Linked DNA regions of Tribolium castaneum. The main gene of each other region encodes a partner of the protein of the gene in region 3 in a complex. Links are inferred from orthologs where the notes say so. Each region holds a gene or a part of one and is shown on either strand. Other genes may lie near its edges.

Evidence for each region.
Region 1: Not10 (region 3) and Not11 share a complex: the UniProt entries of both Homo sapiens proteins name them as parts of the CCR4-NOT complex. The link is inferred for Tribolium castaneum from reciprocal best matches to the Homo sapiens genes CNOT10 and CNOT11.
Region 2: Not10 (region 3) and Rcd-1 share a complex: the UniProt entries of both Homo sapiens proteins name them as parts of the CCR4-NOT complex. The link is inferred for Tribolium castaneum from reciprocal best matches to the Homo sapiens genes CNOT10 and CNOT9.

Annotation. Positions count from the first base shown.
Region 1 is NC_087396.1:20,954,333-20,959,837, reverse strand, and holds Not11 (CCR4-NOT transcription complex subunit 11), read right to left. Parts: upstream 3,595-5,505; 5' UTR 3,491-3,594; coding exon 3,453-3,490; intron 3,407-3,452; coding exon 3,315-3,406; intron 3,272-3,314; coding exon 3,126-3,271; intron 3,078-3,125; coding exon 2,952-3,077; intron 2,893-2,951; coding exon 2,590-2,892; intron 2,478-2,589; coding exon 2,268-2,477; intron 2,222-2,267; coding exon 1,763-2,221; 3' UTR 1,759-1,762; downstream 1-1,758. Other genes in the region: superkiller complex protein 3, read right to left, coding at 1-110, 502-585; HSPC300 (probable protein BRICK1-B), read left to right, coding at 866-986, 1,032-1,114, 1,164-1,190; ATP synthase subunit s, mitochondrial, read left to right, coding at 1,192-1,758; MAU2 chromatid cohesion factor homolog, read left to right, coding at 3,894-4,118, 4,168-4,347, 4,397-4,519, 4,568-4,696, 4,743-5,297, 5,347-5,505. UniProt on the Homo sapiens protein: Component of the CCR4-NOT complex which is one of the major cellular mRNA deadenylases and is linked to various cellular processes including bulk mRNA degradation, miRNA-mediated repression, translational repression during translational initiation and general transcription regulation.
Region 2 is NC_087398.1:10,414,619-10,419,946, reverse strand, and holds Rcd-1 (CCR4-NOT transcription complex subunit 9), read right to left. Parts: upstream 2,853-5,328; 5' UTR 2,642-2,852; coding exon 2,529-2,641; intron 2,480-2,528; coding exon 2,342-2,479; intron 2,291-2,341; coding exon 2,113-2,290; intron 2,063-2,112; coding exon 1,868-2,062; intron 1,816-1,867; coding exon 1,724-1,815; intron 1,666-1,723; coding exon 1,488-1,665; 3' UTR 1,135-1,487; downstream 1-1,134. UniProt on the Homo sapiens protein: Component of the CCR4-NOT complex which is one of the major cellular mRNA deadenylases and is linked to various cellular processes including bulk mRNA degradation, miRNA-mediated repression, translational repression during translational initiation and general transcription regulation.
Region 3 is NC_087396.1:15,625,271-15,629,663, reverse strand, and holds the end of Not10 (CCR4-NOT transcription complex subunit 10), read right to left. Parts: intron 2,239-4,393; coding exon 2,117-2,238; intron 2,074-2,116; coding exon 1,750-2,073; intron 1,704-1,749; coding exon 1,543-1,703; intron 1,496-1,542; coding exon 1,310-1,495; intron 1,264-1,309; coding exon 1,212-1,263; coding exon of another isoform or gene 1,205-1,211; exon of another isoform or gene 1,185-1,204; intron 1,162-1,184; coding exon 1,116-1,161; 3' UTR 1,071-1,115; downstream 1-1,070. Other genes in the region: putative gustatory receptor 28b, read left to right, coding at 202-735, 783-935, 1,002-1,070. UniProt on the Homo sapiens protein: Component of the CCR4-NOT complex which is one of the major cellular mRNA deadenylases and is linked to various cellular processes including bulk mRNA degradation, miRNA-mediated repression, translational repression during translational initiation and general transcription regulation.

The DNA.
Region 1 (5,505 bases), about 5.3 Mb from region 3:
ATTGCCTCCTGGAAAGCTTTCAAAGCTTTGGCGTTTTGACCGGTTTCCTGTAATGAGACTCCCAGGAAGACAAGGGCCATGTAATTGTTCTTTTCTTCTTTCAGTATTTGCTGCAAAAATACAATCGCACACACTAACAAACATAATTAAAGATAACGCTTATGCAACTAATTGCTACAAAGGTGCAGTCCAAAGAAAAAAAAGAAAAAAACAATGAATCAAACAATGATTGGATTCATCAGAAAATAGTGAACACATAAAAGTATTTTAAATTGCCAATGCTTTTATTAATTTTATTAAGTTAATTTCTACAAAAAAAAAACGGATAACTCCGACTATTTAGCAACAAAATTTCGAAATGATCGCAAATGATTATTTCAATTGGTAACAGATTTCAAAGTTTTTTTAGAAATTTGTAACCGGATAATTTTTAATTTTTAGTGTAAATTATGACAGTTTTACCAACCCCTACACCTTATAAATAATAAAAATTTCACCTACCTTGCATAGTTTCAAGGCAGTTTCATAATTCTTGTTTTTGATGGCATCTCGTGCCTCCTTCAACACTAATTTTGAGTCTTTCATGATTCACTCAAAACAATAACTTGTTTGGAAAAGCCTAACCTACAAATGCACTTTTTGCCACTTATTAGCTAGACTCGAAAATAACCAAAAGCGTACAAAACGAATCATTTGCACTTAGTATTTAATTAAAAAAAATATTTGTTTAATTAAATTACGAAAATAGCGAGCTTGTTTGAAACTTTTTCGAGGTTAGAGCATAGAATAAGAGAGAGGGTTAGAGTGTCAAGCAAAAACTGAAACTCCCTAAAAAGTAACCAACAATTTCGGTATTTTTGCGGAAATGGCTGCTCCTAGAGGAGAGACAGTCCCCAAGCCCATCCAACAAGACTGGGTAAACCGCGAATACATCGAAGTGATAACCGTCAGCATAAAAAAGATCACCGATTTCCTCAATTCTTTCGGTAAGTTTCCCCTTACTGTTGACACCTCGCAAAAATTATTTTTAGACTTATCTTGTCGATCAAAACTCGCCGTTTTAAACGAAAAGTTGACAACTCTCGAGCGAAAGATCGACTATTTGGAAGCTTGTGTAAGTCTCATTTACATAACACTGCGCTTTATTTACAAATAAACTGAAGGTCACCAAAGGGGAAACCTTGACATAAGATGCTCCTCACTCGCCTCAGCCACCTCCAAAGGCCGCTCATCCCCCACACGCGCACCCTCTTCCACTGGCTGAACATCGTCTTCAACCGCGTGGACGACGAACGACGGAAACAAGTGGGGCCTGACAGGTCTTGTGCCGAGTGGCTGTTGCGGAACGGGGCCCACGTCAAGTGGGAGCACTGCAACGAGTTTCTCACAGACTATAACAAACTGCCGAGCGACAGGATTAGGTTACACATCGTGGAAGTGAACGCGTCTGAAGCCAGCATAATGCACTACGGGTTTGACCATTTCGTGGGGTGCGAACACATCCGGAAAATCATTTTCCACAAGTGCTACTATCTGGAGAATGAGGCGTTGAAAGGGCTGTCGGTTTTAAAAAACTCATTACTTTATTTACAAATCACCGAGTGTTTGAATATAACAGAGCCGGGGCTGAGTCACCTCAACGCGTTGAATAACTTAAAAGAGCTGATTCTGGCCGATCTGCCGTACGTCAAAGAGAGGGAAAAAATCGTCGATAAATTACAGCACGGCCTGCCACATTGTACGATACAGTTCCATTAAATAATCAACCCTCGAGCTTTGCTTTCATTATCGTTGGCGAGGAGACAAGTCCGATCTGTTCCCCCGACTCCAACTGTTTCAATAGCCTGAACAAAGCGGCAGCTTCGCGAATGCGACTAAACTCGATACAAAACGCCTGAACTTCGATAAACAACTCCTGGACGTTGATTATTTTGTTGCGAATGAGCGACTGGAGAAACACACAAACCAGTCGAACCAGCCGATTTTGCATATAACGGTCCTTGATAGTCTCACAAGTCGATATGCAATTCGAAATGTACAAGTGGACAAACTCTGTGGGCAAATCCACGGTCGTTGTGAGCCGATTTACCACTTCCATGGAATGCAGCGACATTTCCATGTTGACAAGAACGCTGAAATATTCCGTTATTTGTTTCGATTGCATAAGCTTGAGCAAAACTTCAATCGCGATAAGTGGATTATTTTCCACCAGTTCGGGCAACTGCAAGCACTCAAATCAGCGAAAATCACCAAATTTCGATTCATACTTTGGACGGAGTCAAACCAATGTGGTACACAAGTTTTGAGTCGTTTTCCAGCTCGCCTAGCAGTTGTTGCTGCTGTTGCAAAGACAGCGCTGATTTGTACGCCTTGTTCATCAATTGTCTCGCCTCCTGGCCTGCTGTGTCAGGCACACACATCGTCACGTCATATGCTACAGTGTGTTCTTTGATGTTTGTCGGATTTAGCCACACCATCTTAAAAAACACAATCAAGGGTAGTAATAAATTATCACAGCTTCCTTGATTAATGGAAATTTCCCTTCGTCTCCATAGCATTAAACAAAGAAGCTGTATTATGTAACCTTACTTCATCATCTGTGTTGAGCAAAGGCGGTGCTAGTGTCACAAATTCCGGTTTGTACACTTTATTAATGGGGGCGTTATCACCGGTTGCTATAGTTTTCACAAGGGCTGCATAATCGTTCCGTTCTGTCGTATAATTGTTAGTTTTTTCAGGCAGTGATAAAACTACAGGAATTCCTGTTTTGCAAGTGTGTGGCAATTCAGACTGTTTTTCGGCTAGTAGTAATTGTACAACGGAAAAATCGAAATTTGTTTGCGTATTCCCAACGTCTGAATTGATTATTTGCGTGGCTGTTTTTTTCAAAATCTTGAAGAAAAAAAATCGTTTAGTAATTTCCTATCAGGGGAGGCCCTGGATAATCTTACAGCATCTTTGGGCACATCTGATAACAGTTGCGTTAAGAATTGTTTTTCTGGTGGTGTCAGTTTGGGTAGTTGGCCTGGATATTCCTGTTTGGGGGACCCGACACTACTCTGGTGTTCCGGGGGGTGCTAGGATAATTTCTATGTTACAATTACTAAATTTCTGTGATTACAAACCAAAAGGTGGTTGAAAACGTTGGCAAAAGGGGTGTTTGCCAGAGCTTCGCCCCGATATAACTCATACAGAAGCGTTATAGCAACAAGTTTTTGCTCAGGCTCTTTCAACAGATCTTGCTGAAGCATCATTACCAGACAAGTTCCGACTGAAAAAAACAGTTATTTGGGTAATCAAATAGCGGTTTTTACCTTTAAAATAGTCACAAGAGTCGAATTTTTTGTGCAACTCGTTCGAAAGGCTTTCTAAAGTGTGGGTTCTCACCTTTGTCTCACCCAAAATACTACAAAAACTGAATTAAAAGGGCGCCAAAATTGAACTGGTCTTACTCGAGTAAGATATCACATTGTTCCACCGTGAGGGCCATCGTTTTGCAATAAAACACCTATTTTTACGAAATTTATTTTATATACTCTAACCTATAAACCCAATTCGGACATTGACATTTATCACCATAAGACCGAAAAATCTAGTCGGCCAAACACACCTAAACCCGTGTTTTTCGTCAAAAATAAAAAAATAAAAAGCAGGAAAAAAGTTTTTAATGCAATATTCAATAAACTAATCAACTGAAATAATCAATAAGTTGATTAATTAGAATAATCAATGAATGGGAGTTGGAGTTTTCGACCTTATGCGGACCCGACCGCCGCATTTTCGCCCATGTGTGGTGTTTGGCGTTTGGCTTGACAGTCGACCCAAAATATTTCAATTTTGCGCAAAAACCATGTTTGGGTGCGAATTTTGTGTAAAATAATCAATCCCTCGCGATGGCTTCGTCCCAAGACGCTTGGTACCTGTCCCTCCTGGGGCTAGCCGAGCATTTCCGCACCTCGAGCCCCCCTATGATCAAGCTCTGCATCCAGTGCCTCCAGGCTGTGTTTAATTTTAAACCACCGCCGCGGGTCGAAGCTCGCACTCATTTACAACTCGGAAACATACTTTTGACCCATACCAAGAACACGGACTTGGCGAAAAACCACTTGGAACAAGCGGTAAGTGCGCCCCTTGATTTAACACTCATTTGGACGTGATTGAATTCAGTGGTTGTTGTCACAAATGATCAACACCTTTGACGATGTTAAATTCGAAGCGGCGAGCGTTTTGGCCGAATTGTACGAACAACAGCAGCAAATTTCGCTGTCTAAGCCCATTTTGAGGAAAGCGATCGAGTTGTCGCAACATAATGTTTACTGGCATTGCAGGCTAATTTTCCAGCTTGCGGTAATTAATTATACAATTTGGCAGAACTATTTTAATTGTAAAATTATAGCAAATTCACGCAACTGAGAAAGACTACCAGTTGGCCAGTAGTCTGCTGGGTGTTGGGGTGGATTATGCCCACATCTCGAATGCTTGTTACACTCGAGTTTTGTTTCTTTTAAGTAAAGGAATGGTAAGACTTTAATTAAATCACAAAATTGGGCTAAAATTGTAATTTTAGTTATTATTGATTGACAAAAAGTTGCAAGAAGTCCAGCCAGTATTAAACCAAGCCGGTCACTTGATTGAAACTTGGACAGGCGCTGCGTACCAGAAGGAATACCTCCGAGTGTATTTTTTGGTGTTGCAAGTCCGTTACTCAATTTGATTGGTTTTGTGCTCAAAGCAATTTTCAGGTGTGCCATTGTCTAATGGCCGGTCAGGTAAAAAGCGTAAAACCTTGCCTGAAGCAGTTGCAACAAAGCATACAAACAATAATGGCAACGGATGATGTTTTTACAGGGCCAAGTGTTGGCGATATGTTCTTATGGATGCCCAAAGAGCATCTCTACGTTTTGGTTTATTTGGTAACTGTGATGCACAGTATGCAGGCCGGTTATATGGAAAAGGCCCAGAAATACACCGATAAGGCGTTAATGCAAATCGAGAAATTGAAAAGTTGGTTTTTGTACACTTATCTGACACGTCCAACAATTCTAACAGTTGTAGATAATAAGCCGATTTTGTCGGTTTTCCAGTTAATGTTACTCGAACATATAATTATGTGTCGTCTTGTGATGGGTAACAAGACTCAAGCCTTGCAAGAAATCTCCTCAGCTGTGGCTCTTTGTCGGCAAAATGCCAAGTTGTTAGAGACACACGGACCACAATTGCACACTTTATTGGGGCTTTATTCCATGAGTATGAACTGTATGGAGGCGGCCGAGGCGCAGTTCATGGCCGCCTTACACGTAATTATAAAAACTGTGCCCAATATTATTTTATTCCAAAAAATTGTAGACGTCACGCGAGCGCGAATTGTGGACTTTTGCAAACTTGAATCTGGCAATTGTGTATTTGAGGGGTAAAAGAGAGTCGGATTTTAACGCTCTTCACGAGAGAATTAATCCCGAGTCTTTGCCGTCTCATTCGCACAGTTTACGAGCGGCGGCTTATTAC
Region 2 (5,328 bases), on a different chromosome or scaffold from region 3:
AAATTATCTACGAAAGTCGAAAATTATTTTTTATGTTTCAGTTAGTTTTAGTTTAATACTTATTGCAAGCAAAAACTGTTAATTTGCATAATTTGGCTACACCAAGCCAAAAAACCGATTTTATTTCGCTAGATTTATCTGAAGATTTATCGTGAAACTTATTTTGTGAAACTTTCTGAAAATATCCGCCAATTAGATCGAAATTGTTCTTCTTTGTACCTGTCTAAAGTAGGAACAGAAAAAAATCATTGTGCATTAAGAGAAGCTTTAAGAATGCTTAGGTATACAAATTGAGGAAAGTCTGGGATATAGGTATTCCCGATTATAATAAAAAGTATAAGGAATTGTACTTTTACAAAAATAAGATAAAAAGGATAGGGGCCAACACTTTGAGATTAGTAATAGACTTAGGGATAATACTTATAAAGAATCTTTGACTTGCATTAAAATGCTTTAATATCGATTCAAAATTCACTTCTTATTAAAAGAAATCTTTGTTACAACAAATTATCAACTGAAGTAAGTAGTAGCTTTGTAGAAAAAGTGTGAATTTAGAATGTTTTTAAACGGATGTTGGCCTTTATCCTTAGACTTGTTATATAAAAAGATGGCGCTTCAGTACAGCGACTGCCCTCCATCTTGTTTTATTTAGCATGTGATAATCTAGAGTTCGCCACTGTATTTAATCATTGGATGATTTCTTTTATTTACCTTATCTTATATTCTATTATAAATTTGTGATTTATACTGGTCGTGCATTTCCAGTAAATAAGGGAAAATAATAATAATAATAATACCATATGACCATTTGAATTTATAATTAGAGTACACTTTGATACTTTTTTCAATTATAAAGTTAAACTTAAAAAATGTAAATCATATAGACATAAGTTAAACCAAAAGATTAATTAAATTCGAGTTAGATGTTGAAGTTATTAATTATTACGTAAATATCCCTCAATACTATATAAAAAGTTGTTTAATTAAATAGGATTTAATATGTAAAGAATTTTTGGCGGAAGAAAAAGTGAAACTCTGGGAAGTAATTTTATTTTTCGAATGATATTACGTGCCTTTTGGTTTCCTATTATGGAGCGAGTTTAATTTATGGTATTTTTAATTAAACAATCAGCATAATTTAAATTATATATTTTATTTTTTTCACAAAAATTTAAATAATACACATCAGGCATCCTAAAAGATATAAACAAGATACAAAGTAAAATGATCTGTTGGCATATTTACAAGGACAATACAATGATTGCTTTCGTTATTAGTAGAGTATAAAATGTGACTTGTGAACCAGGACATTTGGCATCTTAAAAAACAAGGCAGAATCTGATAAATGGAAACTGCTAAATTTGCAAAATTCTGTCTCGTTCTTTAAGACACCGTAAATCCTAGTCCAAAAGTAACATTTCATACTCTACTGTTATTTGATATTTGAACTAAACTAAAGAAAGACGTTATTAAATCACAATTTTCAACTATTGGGACGTCAAGGGTGATATTCCCCCTTGACGTAATTCTGAAGTACCGGGTGTTTCTAAATTCGTCAACAATTGCGAAAGCCAATGTTTCGTTGATTTATCTTCTTGCAAACACACGGTAAATGTGTTGTCACGTAAGTGATCAGGGAGGCACTGCCTTAATGCTTCTCTAGCCCTAAAAAAGCAAAGAAAAATTAGCACAACCTGAAACAAACAAGAAAAATATCTAGTACCTTGGATTATCTGACAATCTTAAATAACACCTTACAACATGCTTCAAAAGCCTAGCACTTGGTTCCTTCGCCAGAACCAAAACCATTTTACCCTAAAAATTCAAATACAAACCTAAAATTCACTTTTCATTGGTAACAACTTACCAAAATCATAGCCACGTGGCTAAACCTATCATAGGTCTGGCAAATGTATGAAAGGCCACTGTCGTCCAACAAAATCTTCTGCAAGATAAAGGTAGCAACGGTTTTACTTAGTTCAGATCCAGACTCCATTATTCGCAAGCATAAGGGAATTATTTCAGTCGTCAGAAGAAAATTAATGACCTCCTGCTCATCAGTCTACAATAATAAAATAAACTTTTTGCCAACAAAAATAATCAGAAAAATACCTTGACAAGTGCACCAATTACTCCAAGACTTGTCAGTCTCAAGTACTCAAAAGGGCGAGTTTTGGAAACTGTGTGCAGGAAAGGATAGAGGAAAAGAGGCACATGTGCCAACAAAAACTGAGATCTGGTTTCCGGATGGGAGGCCACGCACTGGAGCAACGCCAAAGCGTTACAAACTCTACAAAAAATTACAAACAAGTAGTTTTGCCTCAAATTGTGCGCTTGGTACCTGTTGGACTGATGAGCAGTTAACGTGGCTGGATTTATTGCGGGATAAATATTGATGATTTCTTGCAAGAGAGCCGCCGTTGTCCCAAAGCTGTTCCACAGCATTGGGGCCAAATCAGGTACAACTTCGCGTTTTTTACTACAAATAGCCAAAATTGGACCGTTTGCCCACAACTACAAACGCTCACCTTAATTCTAAAAGGGCATTCTCCCTAGTTTCTGGATTAGTGAGTTCCAGAATCCACTGGAAAACCTTTTCGCGTTCGACGGTTTGGTTTGCTGGACTCGGTTGAGTGCTCATGATTTTGGCTTGATACAAGACCACAGTTTTCCAAAATTAGCGTTTTTTGTAATGCTAGGCTATGCCCACAAAAATTACTTCCAAACTAAAACGTTTGCTTTCAACAATTACTTAATGTTTTGTACGTTAGTTGTGTGAAGTGAATTTTTAACAAAATTGAGACGAAAACACTACAAACAACCCTTAACAACCCCAAATTTTACAAGATTACAGACTGACAACTGACAGATATTTTCAAGCGGACGTCAAATACTCCACTCCCGAAGTCTGGCTAAAGCGAACCCGTTTTTTTATATTATTTCAAATAAAAAGTGTTTATAATAATAATTTTTTGTTTTAAAAAAATCAATGAAATAAGTATGACATAAATTGAACTAAATAAAATTAGGTCAACAAAAAAAAAACACGTTTTAATTATAAAGTATGCAACCAACAATTTAAATAAGGTAATTGGATTTCTCCCAATTCATTTGATGCATAGGCCAAACGGTTCGTTTGGAACGCGTAGTTTTATCTGTAGGAGTTAAAACCGTTTATTTATTGACTGCTCTTATAATTTAAATTAACCATTCTTATTTTATTAAATTATGAATGAGTCCAAAAATTCAAAGTGATTGGTTTTCCACGTTATCATGATGGCCGACCTTAAATGGACCAATCATATCCAAAAACGTAATTCTTCAATGAATCCAAAAAAGTAAAGTAATTGGTTTTCTCCCTAATTTTAATGGCCGACCTCAAACTGCCCAATCGAAATGCTTACAACTTTTACAACAATCATTACGTTAATTACGTTAATTCATAAAAGGATGACTCTGTCTTTGCTTTTGTTGCATCTCACGTCTTCAGTTTTTCATTGAATTATAGCCCCCTGGGTAATGGTAGACGTTCTGCTAGTTGAAAAACACAAAAATTGGGACAATGAGTGAAAATAAATAAGAGGTTTAAATTGAAACTAAAATTTAAATTATTGCCAGTAGGTAGAAAAACACGGCACGTTACTTTGACTTTTTTTTGCTTGGACTCAACAAATCAACATTGATTGTAATTAATATTGCGTGGAAAGCGAGGGATAAACCTTTGAAAATAAATAAAAAAATATAAAATCTCGAAACAAATCAACTTTTCTTTATCAGGAGACACTTGTGTGGCAAACCACGTTTAAAAAAAGTGCCAAGTCACTTTCTTATACACGACTTTACCACTTTAACTTTTGAAGCCGCAAAATCTCAAAATGGTGATTGCATGATCTACAACGTTTACCTGACTCATTCTTCTGATATGCTTACCGCTTATGAGAAAAATGCAAAGAACCGATACTTTTCAACTACTAAGGGGGCCCCTAGTGAACACAGCTACTTTTTTAAGGAAAACATCTTTATTTTTAGAGGTAAACAGAAAATCAGAAAAAATCGTGAAAAAACCATCGTTTTTAAAGCATATTTTTAATTAACATTTTTTCAAAGATTTTGCCCTGTTTTTCTATTAGGCCACTTGAACACAAAAATGAATTCGTTTCGATCATATCCACAAATTCACAGTTTTGTTTTATGAAGGTTAACAGCTTTAAAAGAGAAACAGTATTTATTATTGTAACATACGCGGAAATCGGGTCAGTTTTTTATTATCTAATATTCTGTAACAAAAATTATGTTTCGAAAAGAGGTTTCATTTGCGATGTCGTTCATAAGTGGAACACTAGAACGTCATCAATACTGTCGACTCAACTTCTCAAAACGTAATAAAAACGCGGAATATTGGGGAGTTCAGTTTAGTCCTGGTTAGTCCTGCTTGGTGTTGATTAGTCTTGTTACATCGTGGTTATTTTGTGGTACCAAGTGTGTAAGTACGCATTCTCATTCAATGTAGTCATTTTTTGTAAATAAACCTTTTCTACAACACCACCCACATGACTTTTAATCTCACCCTGTAAAATATGGTGGAGGCGCCGGGAACTGACATTATTAAGTTAGGATTATCCTTGTTATAGCAAAAATGGAGGATTAGCATTAATATAGAACTACTTATGTCTAAAAAAGATAAAGACTGGCAGGGCCACCCCAGAGGCAAAGCCGAAGATGAAATTTATTTAAGGGAATTATGTGAGTTGAAAAATTCGGTGCATACCTAAACGGTCTACGCTCCAGAAAATGACAAAGTTTTTATTGGACTCATGAATTTAATCATTTTTTTTGGAGATAACTTTTACTCATTAATTTATTTATCAAATTAATATCCAAATGTTATTGTATCAAAGTTTTCAAGAATAACTGATTTGTCATAAACAAAACCAAATTCTTTTGTTTCTATTTTATTTAAAAGTGTTTTGGTTTTAGTATCTCTGGTAATTCGATTATACTGTGAACTGATTTTTTTGTCTTTGTATTCTAGTAGTATATTAAAAAAGAAGTTCCATAAGACCACTCATAAAGCACGAATTCAGTTTTTTGAAAGAATAAGTGGTATAAGGTCTTATAAAACGAGTTATACTATTTTTTGTAATTTGCCTTTTGTTTGCCGTTTTTAAACAAAAATTGTTATTTTAGTCGATTTATGGAATTTCGTCACAGTTGGTAATTTCTGTTTTGAAAGTGAAATATTGATTTAAAATATGTGTTTTATTAAAGTTTTGACAAAAAACAAGAGTTTGGATGACAATGGTATTGTTGCATGAACGCCTCTTGAAA
Region 3 (4,393 bases):
ACTTACGATTCTTTCATGATTTACAAAACCACAAATATCATAATCCTGGGCTTGAATGTGGTTTATGTGGTAACGGCATGGATTTGTGCAATCACGAAACGCGACATGTTTGTCGAATTTTTGCTGAAACTTGTCGATTTTGACTCAAAGTTGCAAACAATGAACATCAAGGTGAATTATCACAGAGTTCACCGGAAGATTATGGTCCAGTCTTTGGGCAGGGTTGGTGTTTTGGTGGTGATTATTGGCACTCTGGCAATTATCGCTAATTTGAACGGTGATACTATGATTGTGGAGGCAATGGCGTACATTCTTCTAGCCATGAATTCGGCCGTTTGCCACCAGACGATTGAATTGGTCAAAATGTTGAAAATCCGCTTTGTGATATTGAACAAGCAAATCAATAACTTGATCGAATATTTCCAAAAAAATAAAATAGGTCCCGTTGAGACCAAAGGCACAAACAAGCAGTTGAACACGCTGAATAAAATTTGTGCCCTTCACCACCACTTATCCAAATTGGTGAAACTGTTCAATGAGACATTCGGGATCGTTTTGCTTCTTATGTTTGGGGTCAGTTTTGTTGTTATCGTCATTACGATATTTTTTTTCACGGCTAATGTCCAAGCGGGCGAACTGTATTTCATGAGCTTGCTAAACCCTATTTTGTCTAATGTTACGTTCGTTATAGACGTTGTGTATGTTTGCGATGTGTGTTATTCAACAATTGAAGAGGTATTTTGAGTAATTCTTGAAAAAAACTACAAGTTGCACATTTCCAGGCAAATAAAGCGGGCGAACTTATTCATAAAATTGACACCGAAGATCACGATATTAGAGACGAAATTGAAATGTTCTCCCTGCAAATTGCCAACGAGCAAGTGGAGTTTAACGCAGCTGGGTTTTTCGCAATTAATTACACTTTGGTTTTCTCCGTGAGTTTTTCTCACCTGCCTTTCAACAATAAGAAAAAGCACAATTTATTCAGAATCATGTTTTAGATCCTTGGAGGTGTCACCACTTACATCATCATATTAATTCAATTAGCCACATCACTTGCCGGACAATAAAAAAGTTTTTTGTTGCAAAGTTGGTACAGTTTTCCAGCACATTACTTACGAGCAACGAAGGAGCGAGTGATGTATTTCCACGTGTTTTCGCCTGATAAATAAATAAAACTAAACTAATTTTCTAAATCACTTTATTACAACCTATTTTGGAATAAGTACTGCTTAACTAATTTCCTGGCTGGTTCCGGTCGTCCTTTAAAAAACAGTAAATGCTTTTACACCAAAATAAACCAACTCACCTAATTTAAGTTCAATGTACAAAAGTAGCATAATTATATGTCCTGGCACTTTACATTTGCTGCTCATTTGCCAGATTTGTTTCAAAAGCCCTATGGCGTCTTCCAGTTGGCCTCTAATTGTCTTAGCCACCGCGAAATTATATTGCATCGTTGCAATCGCAGTGGGCAGATTATGCGGAAACCATTCTAAAAATAACGTAAGCAAAAAACCGCAAGTTGTGGCAAATACAGACTTAGAGGCGGCGATGTCTTAATCCGTTTCTCTTCATTTTCGTCCCCTTTTGGCAATTCTAAATTAATATGTTTGACATTTTCGGGGTTTAAATGTTCCAAGGCTTCTGAAATTTTGTCTAACAAAACTAGCGCCTCAGCACAGTACAAGTGACCAAGAAGTCTAAAAATTAACTTCAATCGAAATGAATCATTTAAGTGAAAATTACTTGTGGGCACCCGATAATCTCGGTTGTTGCAGAAGGTTTTCCGCATGTTCTAGTGCTAAAATATAGTCGCCTAGACAGAGGGCTACGTAGGCACTTGCTGCCAAAATACTGTTACGGAGGCTCATTACACTTTCGGGTGATAGGGGTGAAGAGGGTGCGGGGCTTGGACTACAAGATGGGACAGGGGGGATTCCCCCGGGGATCAAAAAAAGGGGAATAGGGGACGATACTGTATCGGAAGGGAGTAAAGTGGAAGCGTTACGTAAACACAATGATGCAAATTCGAGAGAGGGGACAGGAACGGCGTATGACTGACTTTCCGTACTAAAAAAACAATTTATTGACGCCAAGTTGACTATGTTTTTACCTGTATTTTTTGTCTTTTGATACGTTTGTCGTAAGGATAACTTTCTGTTTGTCTTGGGAGCCAATGACGTTAACTATTATCTCTTTTTGTCTCTTTTGAATATCAAAGTCAACTTCGTTCGACTGTAGTAAAACACAATTAAATTATAATATTATATTACCGTGATCTGTAACTTTGAAGTTAAGTTGGCAACACCGAATTACTATTTTCAGATGCTAATCTGGAGATCTATTTAGTGGAATTAGATTTTTTGATATAAAATCATCAAGGAACATAATTCGATAATAACTAATAACATAACTTATAGGTCAAAAAATTACCGAATGGTCAAAATAATTAAAAAACAGTGTTATTTTTCAAGTAAAAACCCAGAAAAAGGTCAAAAGCTACAATTATTGCATTTTACAATTTTTTTCAGTCAGAAACTCAATCAAAAAATTTCCTCAAAAATTAATCAGAAAATTTATTTTGTTGTTGTTTGTTAATCAACTGTGTACGTAAAGTAATACTTTTGCCCCATTTTGCTAAAAACATGTCAAAAATTTACCAAATTAGCCCAAAAATTGTTACATTTAAAAAAAAGACAATAAATAGAAAAAAACTCAGATGCTTATTTGTTTTGTATAAAAAAAAACGGATTAGTCAGTTAGCTAGCTAGAAACGCAAGAATTAACATTATATTAACCAAAATAATGTCTTCTTCGTAAGTTTTTGAGAAACAGAACCGAAAAATCCAAAATGAGGTCAAAAACAAACATTAGTTTTGATTTATTCGTGTGTTCTATGATGTTGGTCAACTGGAAAAGGTACAATTTCGACCGATTCCGTTGTAATTTGCAAGACCTGATTAAATGCACATTTTTTATTGTTGTTTATTGACTGCTTTCATATTTATTAAACTAACCATTCGCAATAAAAAATGAATCAATCTCAAAATTTAACGTGATTGGCTTGTTCACTTTTTATAATGGCCGACCTTAAGTGGACCAATGATATTCAAAAAGTAAATTTTTGAATGAATCAAAAAATCTAAGGTGATTGGTTTTCGGTAATACCATGATGGCCGACCTCAAACGGCCCAATCAAAATGCTTACAAATTTTACAATTACGTGCCTAATTTTACGTTAATTCATAAAATAATGGGTCTGTCTTTGTCGCACATTCTCACTTTTTCTATTCATTCTACCCCTCTGTGCAATATTGAAGAATCTGCTAGATAAAAACAAGCAAAACTGAGACACTGATAGGAAATAAATAACGAATATCAAATGCATATTAGATGAAAAGTCTTTTATTTTAGTCAAGAAAGGGATCCTCGTTGAAAATCATTGCGCATGCGCGCGCTCTTTTCAATTTGACGTATGACATTTCGAAAATGATTCTAAAAAATCCAACAAATAAAACGAAACTCTGTAGAAAATGTCTTAGGTAATTTAAAATGCGAAAGGGGGACAAGCGGCATGTAAACATGTAAGTAGTTTTTAAATGTAAGAGCAGTTAAATTAATCAATTACATTTCGCTAAATTGGACTGAAAATTGGACGTTTTTTATAAAACCGTCCTGAAAATGACATCATTTTGTCAATATAGTTCTTTGTTTGCACATTTTTTTGTAGAAACGCAATTATTATTTCGCTAAAGTTTGTGAAAAATAAGCATAAAAGTCGCCGAATAGTGTCACTTTTGCGTTTAGGTTTTTCATGAAAAAACTCAATAATATCGCACAACTCTGTTATTAAAAATTACTCAACAAGTCAGAGAGTTGGGATGAAAATAATTTAATTGTTCTTATTTTATTTGGTCAATTATTATTTATGTAAAGATTAATTATTCATAATTATTTAGAGAATCTTTTGGTAGTTGCAACTTGAAAAAACAGAGTAAAAAACATGTTTCGCATTTTTTTTTAATCCAATATCTTATCCCGAAGGTACCTACTGATTTATTGTATAAAAAAAAGATGCAATTTTTCTTTTGTGTATTTAGTCTAGTTCGCATTCAATCAAAAATTCTTCAAAAATAAAACAAAGCTTAACGAAATATTGTTTTACGTTCTTCAAGTCTTTAGACCTTTTAAACCAACGTCTTAGACTTTTGTGAGATCTCGTTAAACAGTCAGAAAAATTAAGACGATAACTGTGGTCGACGTAACATACATTATTTTCACCTTTCTCGATATAGTTATTGTTGCCAACTTAATCATAGGTCACTTTGATCAGAAATTTCGTACAAATTCTCCGAAACCAGACATAAAACTAAAAAAAAATTTTCATTCC